Arabidopsis thaliana: one gene and its partners. The protein of the gene in region 2 interacts with the protein of the main gene of each other region in a pairwise test. Each region holds a gene or a part of one and is shown on either strand. Other genes may lie near its edges.

Region 1 (6,644 bases), on a different chromosome or scaffold from region 2:
ATAAATCAAGTTTCATGCTCATTCGTAATCGAAATCATTTTGGTCCTTTTTATAGTATGGCTCTTGACCATTGTCCAATTTTTTTAAGCGATATAGAACATTCTAAAATCGTAATTATTATCCACCCAAACCCGTCCTACCATATAATCCAGTCCCGTGAAATTAAACATAATTTTGTCATTTTCTTATAAATTTCAATATTATAAAATTTGAAACTTAAAAAAATACAATATCGACCCAATTTTTAAGATTTTTCCTGTAATATATCATCTCGTATTAATATATTTTTTCTATATTTGTAATGTTTAAATTTCTTGTAAAATTCAATTTATAATTTTTAAAACTTTATAAGTTTTAAAATTATAAATATTTAAAGCATTTTTTAAAGATAAACTTTATAAAAAGTTTTTAAAATTATAATATTTAACATTTGATAAAGTTATAATATTTATAATTTTTTGAAACATTTTAAAGTTTTAATTCTTTAAAATAAAAAATCCGAGTAAAATCGGATAACTATTTTAATTTTGGACGCCTGATAAATCAAGCTTCATGCTCATTCATAATCAGAATCATTTTGGTCCTTTTATAATATGGGTCTGAACCATTGTCCAATTTTTCTAAGCGATGTTGGACATTGTACACATATTATTTCTTCATAGGTTGAATAATATATGTCCGTTTTAAAAAATTTGAATTACATCATATTCAGAAAAAAATATAATATTTTATTAACTATATATATTTTATATAAATTCAAAATAAATAAAGTATAAGATCAAATAAAATTGAAAGAAGAATTATATATTTATGTTTAAATTAGGTAGAAATATTTTAGGAAATTAGTTAAGGTAAATAAGAAATATGGTTAGTTTAGAGATATTGTTTATATTAAATTTGGTAATTAAATCATTAATTTTCGTTTTTAATTATTAGTTTTTAGGTAACTTTTCCAAAAACTAATGTTATCCAAGATCAGAACTGAATTAAACATGTTATCCAGGATCTGAACAGAGTTAAGCCGAGTAAAACCCACCCATTTGAATTAATTGTTGAATTATGGCTCAAATCTTCAACATTATCTTCAAAAATCCCCTCCAAACATGTATATATAGATATTTCCATTATGATATAGTTTTCACATCTTAACTCCAAATCATGAAACCTAAATTTTATTTCCAAGTCTCAACATCATATATTTTAATTATCATCTTGAACTTCTTGTTAAAAATATAAAATTAATTCATAAACTTTTCTATAAACCTAAGTTTTTTAATATTTTTTGTATCGTATTTATACTAATTTCGATCTTCTTTGTTTCCTCCGTAATCGTTGTCGTAATTTCGTAAACCTAAATTTCATATAGCTCCTTTCTTCTATGTATATATGTTTTGTACAATGTTTCATATATATAATAACACCCTTTGGCAAAAAAAAAAAAAAAACTTTTTCAATGTTTATCTTTCGTGGTTATTACATATAGTAGAAATCCCAACATTCAACAACAATAAAAGGTTACAAATCCTATATTTACCAAAAATTAAGAAAGTCTAAAAAGACTAATAGATACAAAAAGAAGAAAAGAAATTGTTTACTTTTTGAGTGTAAAACAAATTAAAGTTAAAAACCACATAACATCCCCCATCCCATCTTTTTTACTAATACCTTCCTCCATTAACATAAGATTGTCTCTCCTCTTTCGAATTGTCTCTCCTTTTTCAGCTCTCTCTCTGTATCTCCTTCTTCTTCTTCTTCCTCCAGCTTCTTTCAATTTCTCCGGCTGCTAAACCCTAGCGCGCCGTCGGAGTCCCTGCGTTCTCATACCAACCTTTACTCGCCGTCGCCGTCGCTGCAGAACTGGTAAGCATATGTTTTTTTTTGCTGCTCTCTGTATTCTATGGAAGCTGAAAGGTCTTCTCGGCTTGTTTATCTGTGGTAGTTTTGATTAGGATGAGGTTTTGTAGTAATAGAGTGAGTGAGTTTGCTCCAATTCTTAATTGCGTTTAGAGATAGAAGAGAGAGAGAGAGAGAAGCTATAGTTTCCAGGCGGAGAAGAAAGACAATTCCTTTTTGTTTAATCTGGAATCACCAATAGTTAGTTATATACAGTTTTTTTATCTTCTTCGTTTTTTTCTTCTGGATTTGTTCTTTTGTCCTTGTCTTGCTGTGACTGACTACTCCACAACAGAAATCGAAGCTTAAGATGGTGGATACCGAAATGCAAGAGCAAGATGTGACTTTTGGTGCCCTTGTTGAGACAAAGTATTTAGAGGAAGAACCTTTGGAGCCAGAAAATGATCACAACCCTAGTGAAATCCCGCAGCCCCTTCTTCTTGGAGATGGTCAGGCTAATAATGGTCATGGCATGAATGGTGGTGCTGTTGGAGTTGTTGACCACTCTGAAAGGAAGACTCGTAGGGTGCAAATGTTGAGTCCTAAGACTGAAGGTGAGAATGCCAAAAAGAGGAAGACTTGGCTGCTGGATTCTGAGGTACTAGGCTATGTTTCTTTCAATTTGGCTCAAAAAGCCTGTGTCTTTTTGTTTTCTCAGGATTGGATTTCACTGTTTTGTGGTCGAAAATTATGTGGTGATTGTTCACTTACTGGTTCACCTTTCTCTACAGGCACAGGGAACTGATGAAGCAGGGACACCGGTAGAACAAGTGGCGTTTCTAAGAGAAGTGGAGGCCTTTTACAAAGAGAGTTTCCTGGAATTTAAACCTCCTAAGTTTTATGGACAGCCTTTAAACATTCTCAAGTGAGTTGTTGGAAAAGTGGTGCTTTTGTTCTTAATAAACCCATATATCTGGTTAATCAGTGCCTCACTTTTGCATCCAATGTAGGCTTTGGCGAGCAGTCGTGAACCTAGGTGGCTATGAAGTGGTAATTATCCAAAACCATATCGTTTTTAGTTCGTCAGTTTATAAGTCTTGGTTATTTAAGTTGGCCCGTATGATTATCACCTACATTTTATTGTTTGAATTGTGGATGGCATATGAACTGTATATAGGGTATAACTATTGAATCCGTAAGCTAATTTATGATAAGAGTATCTATAACGATGTGGCTTTCAGAGAAGATTTATGACTTTAAGCGAACATATCAAACATTAAAGAATGTTCGATATTTTCTTGGGAAACTGATTTATTTTACTGTTGTTAGCTATATTTGGAATTATATATTCAATGTTTTCTTAATCTTCTGCTGGACTTATGGTCTTTAAGATTCCTTTGTTTTTTCATGGTAATGTAGGTCACCACAAATAAGCTGTGGCGGCAAGTTGGAGAATCCTTCAATCCTCCCAAGTATGGCTGATATTTTCCTTAGACTCTCCGTTAGTCTTTACCAATTTTTCATAATGCTAATCTTTTTCCACATTTGGTTAAACTATCTTTATTCAGGACATGCACAACAGTCTCCTACACATTCCGCAATTTCTATGAGAAGGTGAGTTTGTTTTTGTGCATAAGTATCGTATATTTATCCTGTCTTCATTTTTACTTATCCACTTCAGACAATTCTCCTTGTGCTTCTTCTTAGTATGGTGTGTTATAATAGTTAGTTTAATTCTTTGTCTTGCTGAGGTAGCTCTTTATTTTGGACTATTCTTTTGTCACTTCGAAGTTTGAATGCACTGCTTGTTTTCTTTCTATCTTATCATATAGATACAGGTACATATGATCTATATCTTTGCTTCAATTGCAGGCACTTTTGGAGTACGAAAAGTGTTTAAGGAATAATGGTGAGCTTAACCTTCCTGGTTCAACATTGATTCTGTCTTCCAGTGTCGAGAAAGAGGTATGAATTTCCCCTAAAAAAATGGCTTTTGGATTTTAGACACTACTGAATAATATATAGAAATAATGGTAGATATGGAAAGTTTGGATGAAGATCGATCTAGCACCGTAAAATTAATGAAGAGTATCTACTTGTCAATTTATTGTGGGAAGGTTTCATGTACTGTGATTAAATGTCGTTGATACTGAAGAAATGATAGCATAAGAGTTATTTTTCAGCATTTATGTAATACCAGCTAAACCTTTTAAACCCAACTATCTGCAATCTGACTGAAGAAAGCTGTAGCCATTTTGTGTTCGATACAAAAGCCATAAGAAATCCGTGTGCATAACCCAGTAAATTACCATATAAGTTGCAGAAAACCTAAACGAAAATTCATGTGCCTCCCTTTTTTTCCCTTCTCCATATTTTTTTCTTCCCTGATACAAGGACTTTGCTGTAGCCAAGTAGCCATCAAGGTTCAGGGTCAGGCAGGGCACGAAGAGATTCTGCAGCTCGTGCTATGCAAGGTTGGCATGCGCAGCGCCTTGTTGGATCTGGAGAGGTTACTGCGCCTGCTGTTAAGGTTTCACTTCAAATCTTACTGCACTTTGTGATTCCATTATGCAGAATTTTTTCATGCACCAAGGAATCTGACTCACATGTAGAAAGAAGAAGACTTTTTATTTCTTTTGTCGTTTTTTATTTCGGAAGTAAAATGATGTTCTCCTTTTGTTTCAGGATAAGGGCTTAATTTCCACCCCAAAGCACAAGAAACTCAAAAGCATTGGTACAAAATAGTTCTCAAGGCTTTGCTATTTTGTCAACGAGGGTTGCTTAACGTTATGTTTTAAACGGTTTTTTCAGGGCTGCAAAAACACAAACAACAAACTAGCATGGACCATGTTGTTACAAATGAAGCTGACAAACAGTTACGGAAAGCTGATCTCTCCTTCTTATTTGCAATTCTAAGATAGTTATATTAGTTTTTTGGTTCTTCTTTCAATGCCTCTTAGCAGTAATGAGATGAAAACGTAGCATTTTCTGGACCTGAACATATTACTATAGATTAACGTTAAGGTTTCCTTTTTGTCATGATAGGTTGGCTGCTGAGGTTGTTGATGTTGGACCCGTTGCTGACTGGGTGAAGATAAATGTCAAAGAATCTGTGAGTAACTTCTGCCAACGGCTAAAGAAACGCCAAAAACTTGCAAACTGGATGTTTGTTTCCAATATGGAATTCTTACCAAATCTGTTTTCCTTTTTCTTGAATTCACAGAAGGATTCCTTCGAGATATTTGCCTTGGTACCTGGACTTCTTCGCAAAGAGGTGAGCACTCCTTTGTAACCCTGTCTCTGAAGGCTACTTGATAAGTCCTTGTCTTTTAATTTTGTTTGAATGCATATTACTGTGACAATACAAAGCAAGCACAAAGCGATTTGGTAGGTTACCAAAGCAGATCCGTTGGCTTTAGTTTCATAGTCTCAGTACACAGTGTTGTAGGCAATAAGTATTTTCTGGTAAAATCAGTACATAGTTCCAATTACTGAACATACGTTGTCTTTTCTCAGGTTCGAATTCAATCAGATCCTGCGGGAAAGGTGGTTATAACAGGCCAGCCAGAGCAGCTTGACAATCCTTGGGGGATTACACCCTTCAAAAAGGTAAAACTTTCTTCTATATTCCAGATATGTCCATTAACTGAACTGATACAGAGACTGAGAACCTTCCTGTCATTTTGATATGTTTTCACCAGATTGTTGACTTATCAGCAAGAATTGATCCGCTTCACACATCCGCGGTCATGAGCATGCATGGACGGTTGTTCATACGAGTTCCGTTTGAGCAGTAATGGATTTCAAGAGAGCTGGTCAGTTGTTCGTGGTTTCTTCTAGGAATTCATATGTTTCAGAACCAAATTGTTAGGCGGCTGAAGCAGTTTTGTAACTGTGATTTGAATCTGAAGACTGAAGTTAGGAACATGCAACAAACATTTGATCTTACTGTAATATTTCTCTTTTGTATAATTTGAGATTAGTAGGAGAAACTGCTCCAAAGACATTTAGGATGCAACCAACAATGATGATTTTGATCTAAAATCGGAATGTTATGCTTTTCTTATACATATTTTTTTAATAGAGATGAATAGATTTGCCTATCCCATCTACTAGTTCTACTTCCAATAGTATACTTTTAGGTTCTCATGCGTTTCGGTTTTCAAAAGTTCTCCTGAGATGATTTGTTTTCAAAAAGTGAAAGTGAAAGTATGCATATATTGGTGGTGCATATTATTAAAGGGAAAACGAAAACAGCAAAAAACTTATTGACATTTCCCTGAATCTAAAAAGTTCATGATCGGGAATATATGATTTAGAAAAGAAAAAAAGGTTCATTACTTGTTTATATATATATATATATATGTATCATCAATTCATGACGAAAATTTAAGGTTCAAAAGTTTTGAAGCTCACTCTAGTTTTTGAGTCATCAGAAAATACTGCAGTATTAAGACAAGAAACATTATTCTCAACTTGTTTTCTTTCTCTTTAATCATGCAAAAAGGTTCACACTTCACAGTGATCAAAAAAGGTTTTTTATTGCTGATTCTCAACTTGGTGTAGCTCAATTGCATGTAAGGCACATGACATGACCGCATGGGAATTTGATAATATTTACAACTACAATGCTCTTTCTCCAAGCCCCCAAAAAAAAGTCATATGATTCCAAGTATATGTATTGATTCTAATTTATATTTTATATATTTTGGCAAAGCTAAAACGTTTTTTACTAAGAGACATCTGATCACTATAATATTTAGCTAAGAACTGTAGATTGTGACTTGTGAAATTAATCTGCAATTTGTTCC
Region 2 (3,565 bases):
TATTGTTTGATCGACCAATACAATTAAACCACGTATGAAACAAAGAATAGTTACCTAAGTAAAAGCGAATATGTTAGACATATCAAAATTATTTTTGTTTAATTAAAATTACAGTTGTAGTAATGTTGTTATTTCAAAGGTACATATATATTTCCATTATGTAACTTGCTGATATTAGCATTCAGTACCATCCTTCTTTTACTACACCACCGAGAGAGATAAGTTACTTTCTTTTTTTTCGTTTTCTTATGGACATGGATGCAAATATACAGACAAAAAAAAGCATATGTTGAATAATTATTAGGGTTAAGAATGATTATTAGTAGGGTGAAAATGATCAATTATTTGATAAAAAGTTAATGACCTTCTCTAGTTGTTTTTCTTGTCGTCATAATTGCGGTCTAGGATTCTTTCATCAATTTGATACTGGATTGAACTAATAATATTTGGCACTTGTTATTTTGATGTATCCATTCTACCTACACACTCTTTTGCCCAACATATTCTTCTATTACCTCTTATTCCAATTATAATTGACTCTAAAAGGATATAGTCTCAATTGGAGATTATTTTTTTTTTAAATATGCGTGCGACTGAATATGATCGACATAACCTTTACTTTTATTTGATGAAACTTTGTCGAACAAAAGATAAATTGGCAAACAAAAACATCCATATATAAACCCAAATAAGAAGTGGTTACTATGTGACATTCCCTATACAATTAACATATACTACTATCTAAAAATTGTAGATAAGTTTATGCAATATTATACTAATTCCCTCTCCAAGTTTCAGTAATGGGCATAATCACATATTTATTAATTATTAAACCTATGTTTTTAATTGAAAAATAATGTATTAGAGTTTTTTTTTTAATAGGTCGCAGACTCGTAGGTAAACTGTACACTCAGAAATCATGGGTATGATGACAATACATTAAGGTTTGTTTCAATAATAACAATACAAAATAATATTAAAGAAGGGAAAAGAGAAGATGATAATCGAAGATGGTTTTGGGTGTTTGATTGAGTCATTATCAAAGGCTCACATGGGTGAAGAATGGTGATGAAAGAGTCTCGCTAGTTATCAAACTATATATTTTCCAATTATTTATCGTTATTATTAATTAGTTGGGGAAAAATTTGGCAGTATCTATGATATAGAGACATGTTGTGATGATCAAACCCATGTGAAAATAGGTACAGTGGGTTTGAAGTTTCACCGCAGCCAAATCTCTTTGGATCCAACTTGTTCACAATGGGAAAATTAAAATAATTGATAAATATATATGCTATATACGTAGGGTTGTTATTATATTTAGAGCTATTTATTAGTTTTATCTTAAAAATACCCCATAACTTAGGATATTATAACTATAATTGTCTAAGTATAATATGTGTAACTTGGGACAAAAGGAAAAGAAAAAGGTTTGGATTAAATTATCTTAGGTTTGATTTCTAAACCGTTTTAATTAATTTATATTTGTTGATAAAAAATTAGCTTTTGTTACAGAAATAAATTCATATGAAACTATTGAACATTTGTAATTTTGTATTCTAACAAAAACTGTGATAAGTTTGTTAATTCATAATTTAAATTCTATTTTAACTTTTAGATAAATTACGATAATACTTTCCAAAAAATATCTCTAAATAAAAAAAACACTTTTCCGACAGTTTAGCATGTAGTTTCGAAGCTTTCAATTTTCACTATAATATGTGACAGAATTAGATAATCCATTTGCCCATGTCGCAGCAACTTCGAATACAACAAATGAAGTAAATTTAAGAATACTTTAAGTTAAATAAATTAATATAACTCTCTCTCTCACATCAAACAAAATCCATGAGATTTTCTGAGTCGTATTGGTAATGGTGTGGGTCCAATTTAGGACCAAATTGATTGCCAGTTTATTGCCAAAGAAAATTTTAACACAAAAACATTTCTCTCTCTCATGAAGCTAAAGCCAACACTACTTATATAGCTACCCTTCACTCTTCCAAAAACGCTCCTTCACTCTCATCATTCTTTCTTCTTTCAAAACATTTCCACAAACACACCAAACTCACCTGAAACCCTATTTCCATTTACCATTCACACTAATGGCACGACCACAACAACGCTTTCGAGGCGTTAGACAGAGGCATTGGGGCTCTTGGGTCTCCGAAATTCGTCACCCTCTCTTGTAAAAACTCTCCCTCATCATCCTCTCAAATTACGAAATTACCCTCGGTCGCTTTTTATTTGAGTAATGCTAAACTTTTTTGTTTTTTTTTTGTTTTTTTTAGGAAAACAAGAATCTGGCTAGGGACGTTTGAGACAGCGGAGGATGCAGCAAGGGCCTACGACGAGGCGGCTAGGCTAATGTGTGGCCCGAGAGCTCGTACTAATTTCCCATACAACCCTAATGCCATTCCTACTTCCTCTTCCAAGCTTCTATCAGCAACTCTTACCGCTAAACTCCACAAATGCTACATGGCTTCTCTTCAAATGACCAAGCAAACGCAAACACAAACGCAAACGCAGACCGCAAGATCACAATCCGCGGACAGTGACGGTGTGACGGCTAACGAAAGTCATTTGAACAGAGGAGTAACGGAGACGACAGAGATCAAGTGGGAAGATGGAAATGCGAATATGCAACAGAATTTTAGGCCATTGGAGGAAGATCATATCGAGCAAATGATTGAGGAGCTGCTTCACTACGGTTCCATTGAGCTTTGCTCTGTTTTACCAACTCAGACGCTGTGAGAAATGGCCTTGTCGTTTTAGCGTATTCTTTTCATTTTTATTTTTGTTTCCACAAAAACGGCGTCGTAAGTGATGAGAGTAGTAGTGAGAGAAGGCTAATTTCAAGACATTTTGATCTGAATTGGCCTCTTTTGAAACACTGATTCTAGTTTCTATAAGAGCAATCGATCATATGCTATGTTATGTATAGTATTATAAAAAAATGTTATTTTCTGATTTTTCTCCATGTAAACCAATTGAACACTTGAAACCAAAAACTAAAAATTACACATGTGTTCGTGTGTGAAAAAGTGGGAATTTAATGTAGTGAAAAGATACAACAATGAGAAGAAAGATATCTAAAGTAGTGAAGAGAGATGAGAGTTTGAATATTTTGAGTTAGCTTTTGGTTTTGTTCCATGCATGTTCTAATTTTTCAACGGTGGGCCTTCATTTTTTTATTTTTATTTTTGGTAATTTGGGATTGCTGCTAAGTAGAAAAAGAGTGTCCCTAGCTGTGGCTTGACGACCATAAAATCCAACTTTTTAATTAGAGGGATTTGTGTTTTCTAGCACCTTATATTAAAATAGAAAAAATAATTTAGCTACATAAAATAGGTGTTTGACTGCAATTACTCTGTTTCCTTAGAACACTCTGTTCTTCGAACAGTCCAAACCTATTATTTATTTGTTTTGTTTGTAATGCGAATAAAAGGAAACTAGTGTTTTCCGACCACTACTTTAACTTTTGTAACAAAATATGATTTACATTTACTACCTTAAGGTTGAATACGAAAATAAAAATATTCTCTAGCAAAGAATGGAAAACATA
Region 3 (5,416 bases), about 15 Mb from region 2:
TAGCAGCTTTCTCCCCAAGTAACGCTGTACTAGTCTCTGCAACTTTTTTAGTCTAATCCCAATTAAACAGCGAGATTAATTAAAACTAAAGGACATTGATGTTGTTTTTTGGTTGATACACGCGAAAAGAGTGGAGATTTTTAATTTTGGTCAATTTGCACTATTTCCTAATTAAAAATCCAAAATTTACCCATTTCACCCTCTTATTTCTTTATTTCTTCTACTTTCGTACTATTAAAGCTTGCTCATCACTCTTTGACTTTGACTCTGTTTTTCACTCTTCTCAGATATAGCTCATGAATACGACATTCTTTCTTCGGATTCACCATATGACTTTTACTTGTGAAGATAGTAAGATACTATCTCATTAGTTACCAGTTCTTTTTATTTACGTCCATGAAGAAGAAATTGGCTTCCTTCTTTTAAATCAAGAAGATAGACTAATGGGCCAAACCTAGGTCTTTAATTATGGGCTTTGAAACAGATCATTATCCTCGTATAGCCCCGCATCGGTATTTCTGGCCCAGAAGTGCTTGGCGCCAAGTCGAAGAGAGATAATTCACTGCATTTAGGACCATAAAAGTCAATATGGTCTGTCCAATAAGGCTCTGCCATTTGGGGTTTTGTCGCAGCGACGTCGGCTGATAAAATAGCAAATAGCAATGCTTAGTCGCTTTCAGTTGGTCCCACATGCTTCTTATTCCATTCATTCTAGTCAGATTATGGATTCTTGTGGGTCCTTTTCCTAATTGTACACTTAGACTTTTCTACCTTTTTTCCCTTTTTATTTCGCTTTATATCAAAATTAACCTAACAATATATCTCATCGTGAATACAAGATCTTGACCGTCTGTTTTCAGCATTTTTCATACCATTGTCTTTTGAGTGACTGACTTATAACAAATTTTTAAATATTGATTTGACATTGGGAATCAACAGTGTTTATGTTAAGAAACAGGATATAATTATCTAAAAATTAATAATTTGTCGTGTATATATACAGTATTTGCACTATCATATTAATATTATGACTTTACTTATTTATTAGAACTGTAAATTAGAAGAAGAGAAAATAAATGGCTTTGTGTTATGATGTGAGAGAGAGCCAGTGGAGCAGCTTCGTTAATGCCGCTGCAAAAAGCATTGATGGGTTCGGTTGCATGCATTTGGATTTGGTCTGGTTGCAATACAAAACAGTAGTCGTTTTCAAAAAAATATTATTATACATTTGCAATTTATGACTACTTTTATATAGTAGTACAACATTGTCATGGATCACGAATCACTATCTTTTAATATAATAATACAAGCATAGCGACAGAAAATACAAAGTTTGGTAAGGTTTGTTCGAATTCTTTCCATTACCGAATTTAAATACACATTATTTTAGTCTCTTAGGATATTTGTATTACCTAATCGTCTTTTTGTTGGAATTGTCGACCGAAAAAAACTGAACATAAACGTCAATTTCTCGACTTTATAATAATTATCTCAATTATCTTTAAACTTTATGATAATTAATTTTGATGAATATAACTCAAATCAAAGCTATGACAAAAGAGAGTTGCTATCAAGCGAAACCCACTCGAGACGGTTCCGATTCTGTGTTTTGGTGCATGTTGAGATTATTCTGGGGCGGTGACAAACCAATTAAAAAGCTATGGTTAATTGGTTATATAACTCTAGGTAACAGGCAGTGGTTTTATCTTTAGCTCGTGAATGGAGAAGAAAAGTAAGTAGCTCATTTTAAAAACATGCTGACGATGCATGGTTTCCACGTCATCCCACCAAAAACCGGAAAAACGCGTGAAGCGTGACAAAACCGATGAGCGAAGATCCTCTGTGTGAAGTCTAACGTACACCTTCATTTCCTTCAGACTTTACAAATTAAAATTGAAAGTAAAATAAATAAATAGAAATAAAAAAGACGAGAGAGAAGTAGAAGAAGAATGATGGAGATGGTGGTTTTGTTTTATTATTTAGAGTAAGCTTCTTCATTTTTTTAAAAACTTCTATTATTTTGACCTTAAGAAGAAAGTGACAAGGAGAGGAAGAAGAAGAAAAAAAACATAATTTGAGGAAGAAGAAAAAAAATTCGGATTTGTTTTTTCAATAAATTGACTAATTGAGTACTCGTTTAAAGGAAGTGAAGAGCGGTTTTTTGGTAGTGGTGGTCGAGAAAAGAGAGAGTTTGTCTCTGTGACTCAGAGGTAGAAAATCTTTACTCTTTGTTTCTTTGATTTGATTAGTCACTAATTTAGTTTCAGTTGAATCCATATATGTCGATTTGTTTTAGAGTTTGCAGTTTGTTTTTAATTGTTTTGCTGATTGGAAAATGAGTTAACAATATGATTAGTTTTCGATGTTGCAAAAGTGGTTAATTATGGATCTGTTGGTGTTTATTTTTGGTTTGGTTTGTTTTAAAGTTGGAAACTTTGTATCCCAAACTAACAAACTCTTCCTTCTCTCCTTAGCTTAATCGTTTCTGCAGTTTTTATTTCTGTTTTGTATGATTTTGTTCTATGTATATTACCATTTTAATCAGAAGAAAAAAGATTCATCCTTTTCAATTTGTTCTGCAATTTTTTTTGCAGTGAAATCAATAGAGCGGGAAAAGATTGTTGCTTTTTTTTGCCATGGGAGTTGATGAGCTGTCTCACCTCAAATTCTCTCTTCTGCTAGAATCATCAGCCTGCAATGATTTGTCCGGTTTTAAGTCTCTAGTTGAAGAAGAAGGTCTTGAGAGCATTGATGGCTCTGGTTTGTGGTATGGGAGGAGATTAGGATCAAAGAAGATGGGTTTTGAGGAGAGGACGCCTCTTATGATTGCTGCCTTGTTTGGAAGCAAAGAGGTTGTTGATTACATCATTAGTACTGGTCTTGTTGACGTGAACCGCTCTTGTGGCTCTGATGGTGCCACGGCTCTTCACTGTGCGGTCTCTGGCTTGTCTGCCAATAGCCTTGAGATTGTTACTCTTCTGCTGAAGGGCTCTGCGAATCCGGATTCTTGTGATGCTTATGGTAACAAGCCTGGAGATGTGATTTTCCCTTGTTTGAGTCCGGTTTTTAGCGCGAGGATGAAGGTTTTGGAGCGTTTGTTGAAAGGAAATGATGATTTGAATGAAGTTAATGGGCAAGAAGAAAGCGAGCCAGAGGTTGAGGTTGAGGTTGAGGTTTCGCCTCCTCGGGGGTCTGAGAGGAAGGAGTATCCGGTTGATCCAACGCTTCCTGATATCAAGAACGGTGTATATGGGACGGATGAGTTCCGGATGTATGCTTTCAAGATCAAGCCGTGCTCTAGAGCATACTCTCACGACTGGACGGAATGTCCCTTTGTTCATCCGGGTGAGAACGCAAGGAGGCGTGATCCGAGGAAGTACCATTATAGTTGTGTCCCTTGTCCTGAATTCCGGAAGGGGTCTTGTTCCAGAGGTGATACTTGCGAGTATGCTCATGGTATCTTTGAGTGCTGGCTTCACCCGGCTCAGTACCGGACTCGTCTCTGCAAGGACGAGACGAATTGCTCGAGAAGAGTTTGTTTCTTTGCCCACAAACCCGAGGAGCTGCGTCCTTTGTACCCTTCAACTGGATCAGGTGTTCCGTCCCCGCGGTCTTCCTTCTCATCTTGCAATTCCTCGACCGCTTTCGACATGGGACCGATTAGTCCGCTTCCTATCGGAGCAACAACCACACCTCCTTTGAGTCCTAACGGTGTATCCTCTCCAATAGGTGGAGGAAAAACGTGGATGAACTGGCCTAACATAACCCCTCCTGCATTGCAGCTTCCAGGGAGCAGATTGAAATCTGCATTGAATGCAAGAGAAATCGATTTCTCTGAAGAGATGCAAAGTCTTACTTCTCCAACTACATGGAACAACACGCCAATGTCATCTCCATTCTCCGGAAAGGGCATGAACAGGCTTGCAGGAGGAGCAATGAGCCCGGTGAATAGTCTCAGTGATATGTTTGGGACAGAGGATAATACATCGGGTTTGCAGATCCGACGCAGCGTCATTAACCCGCAGCTGCATTCCAACAGTCTTTCTTCATCACCTGTGGGAGCCAATTCTCTGTTTTCGATGGATTCCTCCGCAGTCTTGGCTTCAAGAGCGGCTGAATTTGCTAAACAGCGAAGCCAAAGCTTCATAGAACGCAACAACGGACTGAATCACCATCCCGCAATCTCTTCCATGACTACAACTTGTTTAAACGATTGGGGCTCATTGGATGGGAAGCTTGACTGGAGCGTCCAAGGAGACGAGCTACAGAAGCTCAGAAAATCCACTTCTTTCCGTCTCAGAGCCGGTGGCATGGAATCAAGACTGCCTAACGAAGGGACTGGGCTCGAAGAGCCAGATGTCTCATGGGTGGAGCCGCTGGTGAAAGAGCCACAGGAGACAAGACTAGCTCCGGTTTGGATGGAGCAATCATACATGGAGACAGAACAGACCGTGGCTTGAATCAAAAGTTTTGAACTTTCATTAACCGTTCCACAAGAAGCAAAGTCAGAAAGATTCCGAGAGGTCGATGCTAATCTATTTCATTTTATTTGTTTAATGCTTTGTTATTTTTCTTTAGAATAAAAAGAAAAAATTCTTAGGGGACAAAAGAGAGTTCGTTTGTCTCTCTCTCTGTCTCCAAAGAAAAACAGAGGTGAAAAAAGGTTTCAAAACCTAAGAAACCTTGAATTACCTCACCTCACTTCCTTGATTCTTTACTATTCACAATGAGTAATCGATTTTTTTTTTTCTTGGTAACACTCTCACGCTGAATATATATGTTTTTTAGTAATAATATAATTGGAATACAGAAATGTATTTACACTTGTGAAGTTAGGGAAAGTGTTGTAATTGTTTCTTCTAAGAGTTGATCTAAGATGTTTGAGACTATATCTTCGCTTATGATTCCTTCTATATCTTCGAGCTTTAAAGCTTTTCCGTTAAACCAATCTGAACCTTCAAGGTCAGATACAGTGAGTTTGCAGATCATGAGCCACATCTCTTGGTAGCCATGAAGTCGGATTTCTTGGTCTTTTGATCTACTTGTCAATGTGATGTGATCTTGTTCAATCGTTTCATTGAGCTTACTAGATTCAAGTTCTGAAGACAACCGTCTTCTTGAAATGTTTCCTGTTACAAGGAAACAAGTATGCTTTAATAACACAAGAAAGGACATTTCAATTTTCAATACTGAAGAATTACCAACCTGGTGATGGAGTTACTCGAACACCAGCATACCGGTCATAATCAAGAACCGAGACAGGGCTCGAATCATCGCAGCTTCCACACTCTTCTTCTTCTTTTGTTGATCTCACTTCACAATTTACTAAATCTTCTTCTTTGGACCAACAACCATTACTTTGGACCCAATTCTCCTTCTCGATGTTCTGTCTCAACTTAGTTTCTTTTCGTTTTCT

The links.
Region 1: the proteins of ESE3 (region 2) and AT1G20910 interact in a two-hybrid assay, tested with the Arabidopsis thaliana proteins (one large-scale study listed by BioGRID).
Region 3: the proteins of ESE3 (region 2) and AT5G58620 interact in a two-hybrid assay, tested with the Arabidopsis thaliana proteins (one large-scale study listed by BioGRID).

What each region holds. Positions count from the first base shown.
Region 1 is NC_003070.9:7,276,195-7,282,838, reverse strand, and holds AT1G20910 (ARID/BRIGHT DNA-binding domain-containing protein), read left to right. Parts: upstream 1-1,602; 5' UTR 1,603-1,860; intron 1,861-2,188; 5' UTR 2,189-2,203; coding exon 2,204-2,491; intron 2,492-2,624; coding exon 2,625-2,758; intron 2,759-2,843; coding exon 2,844-2,883; intron 2,884-3,252; coding exon 3,253-3,305; intron 3,306-3,401; coding exon 3,402-3,447; intron 3,448-3,705; coding exon 3,706-3,798; intron 3,799-4,240; coding exon 4,241-4,363; intron 4,364-4,518; coding exon 4,519-4,567; intron 4,568-4,644; coding exon 4,645-4,708; intron 4,709-4,878; coding exon 4,879-4,945; intron 4,946-5,056; coding exon 5,057-5,107; intron 5,108-5,349; coding exon 5,350-5,442; coding exon of another isoform or gene 5,443-5,520; exon of another isoform or gene 5,521-5,534; coding exon 5,535-5,630; 3' UTR 5,631-5,896; downstream 5,897-6,644.
Region 2 is NC_003076.8:8,706,196-8,709,760, reverse strand, and holds ESE3 (Integrase-type DNA-binding superfamily protein), read left to right. Parts: upstream 1-1,875; 5' UTR 1,876-2,105; coding exon 2,106-2,188; intron 2,189-2,291; coding exon 2,292-2,754; 3' UTR 2,755-3,016; downstream 3,017-3,565.
Region 3 is NC_003076.8:23,691,323-23,696,738, forward strand, and holds AT5G58620 (zinc finger (CCCH-type) family protein), read left to right. Parts: upstream 1-1,936; 5' UTR 1,937-2,210; intron 2,211-2,594; 5' UTR 2,595-2,636; coding exon 2,637-4,460; 3' UTR 4,461-4,818; downstream 4,819-5,416. Other genes in the region: TRM31 (uncharacterized protein), read right to left, coding at 4,819-5,129, 5,206-5,416.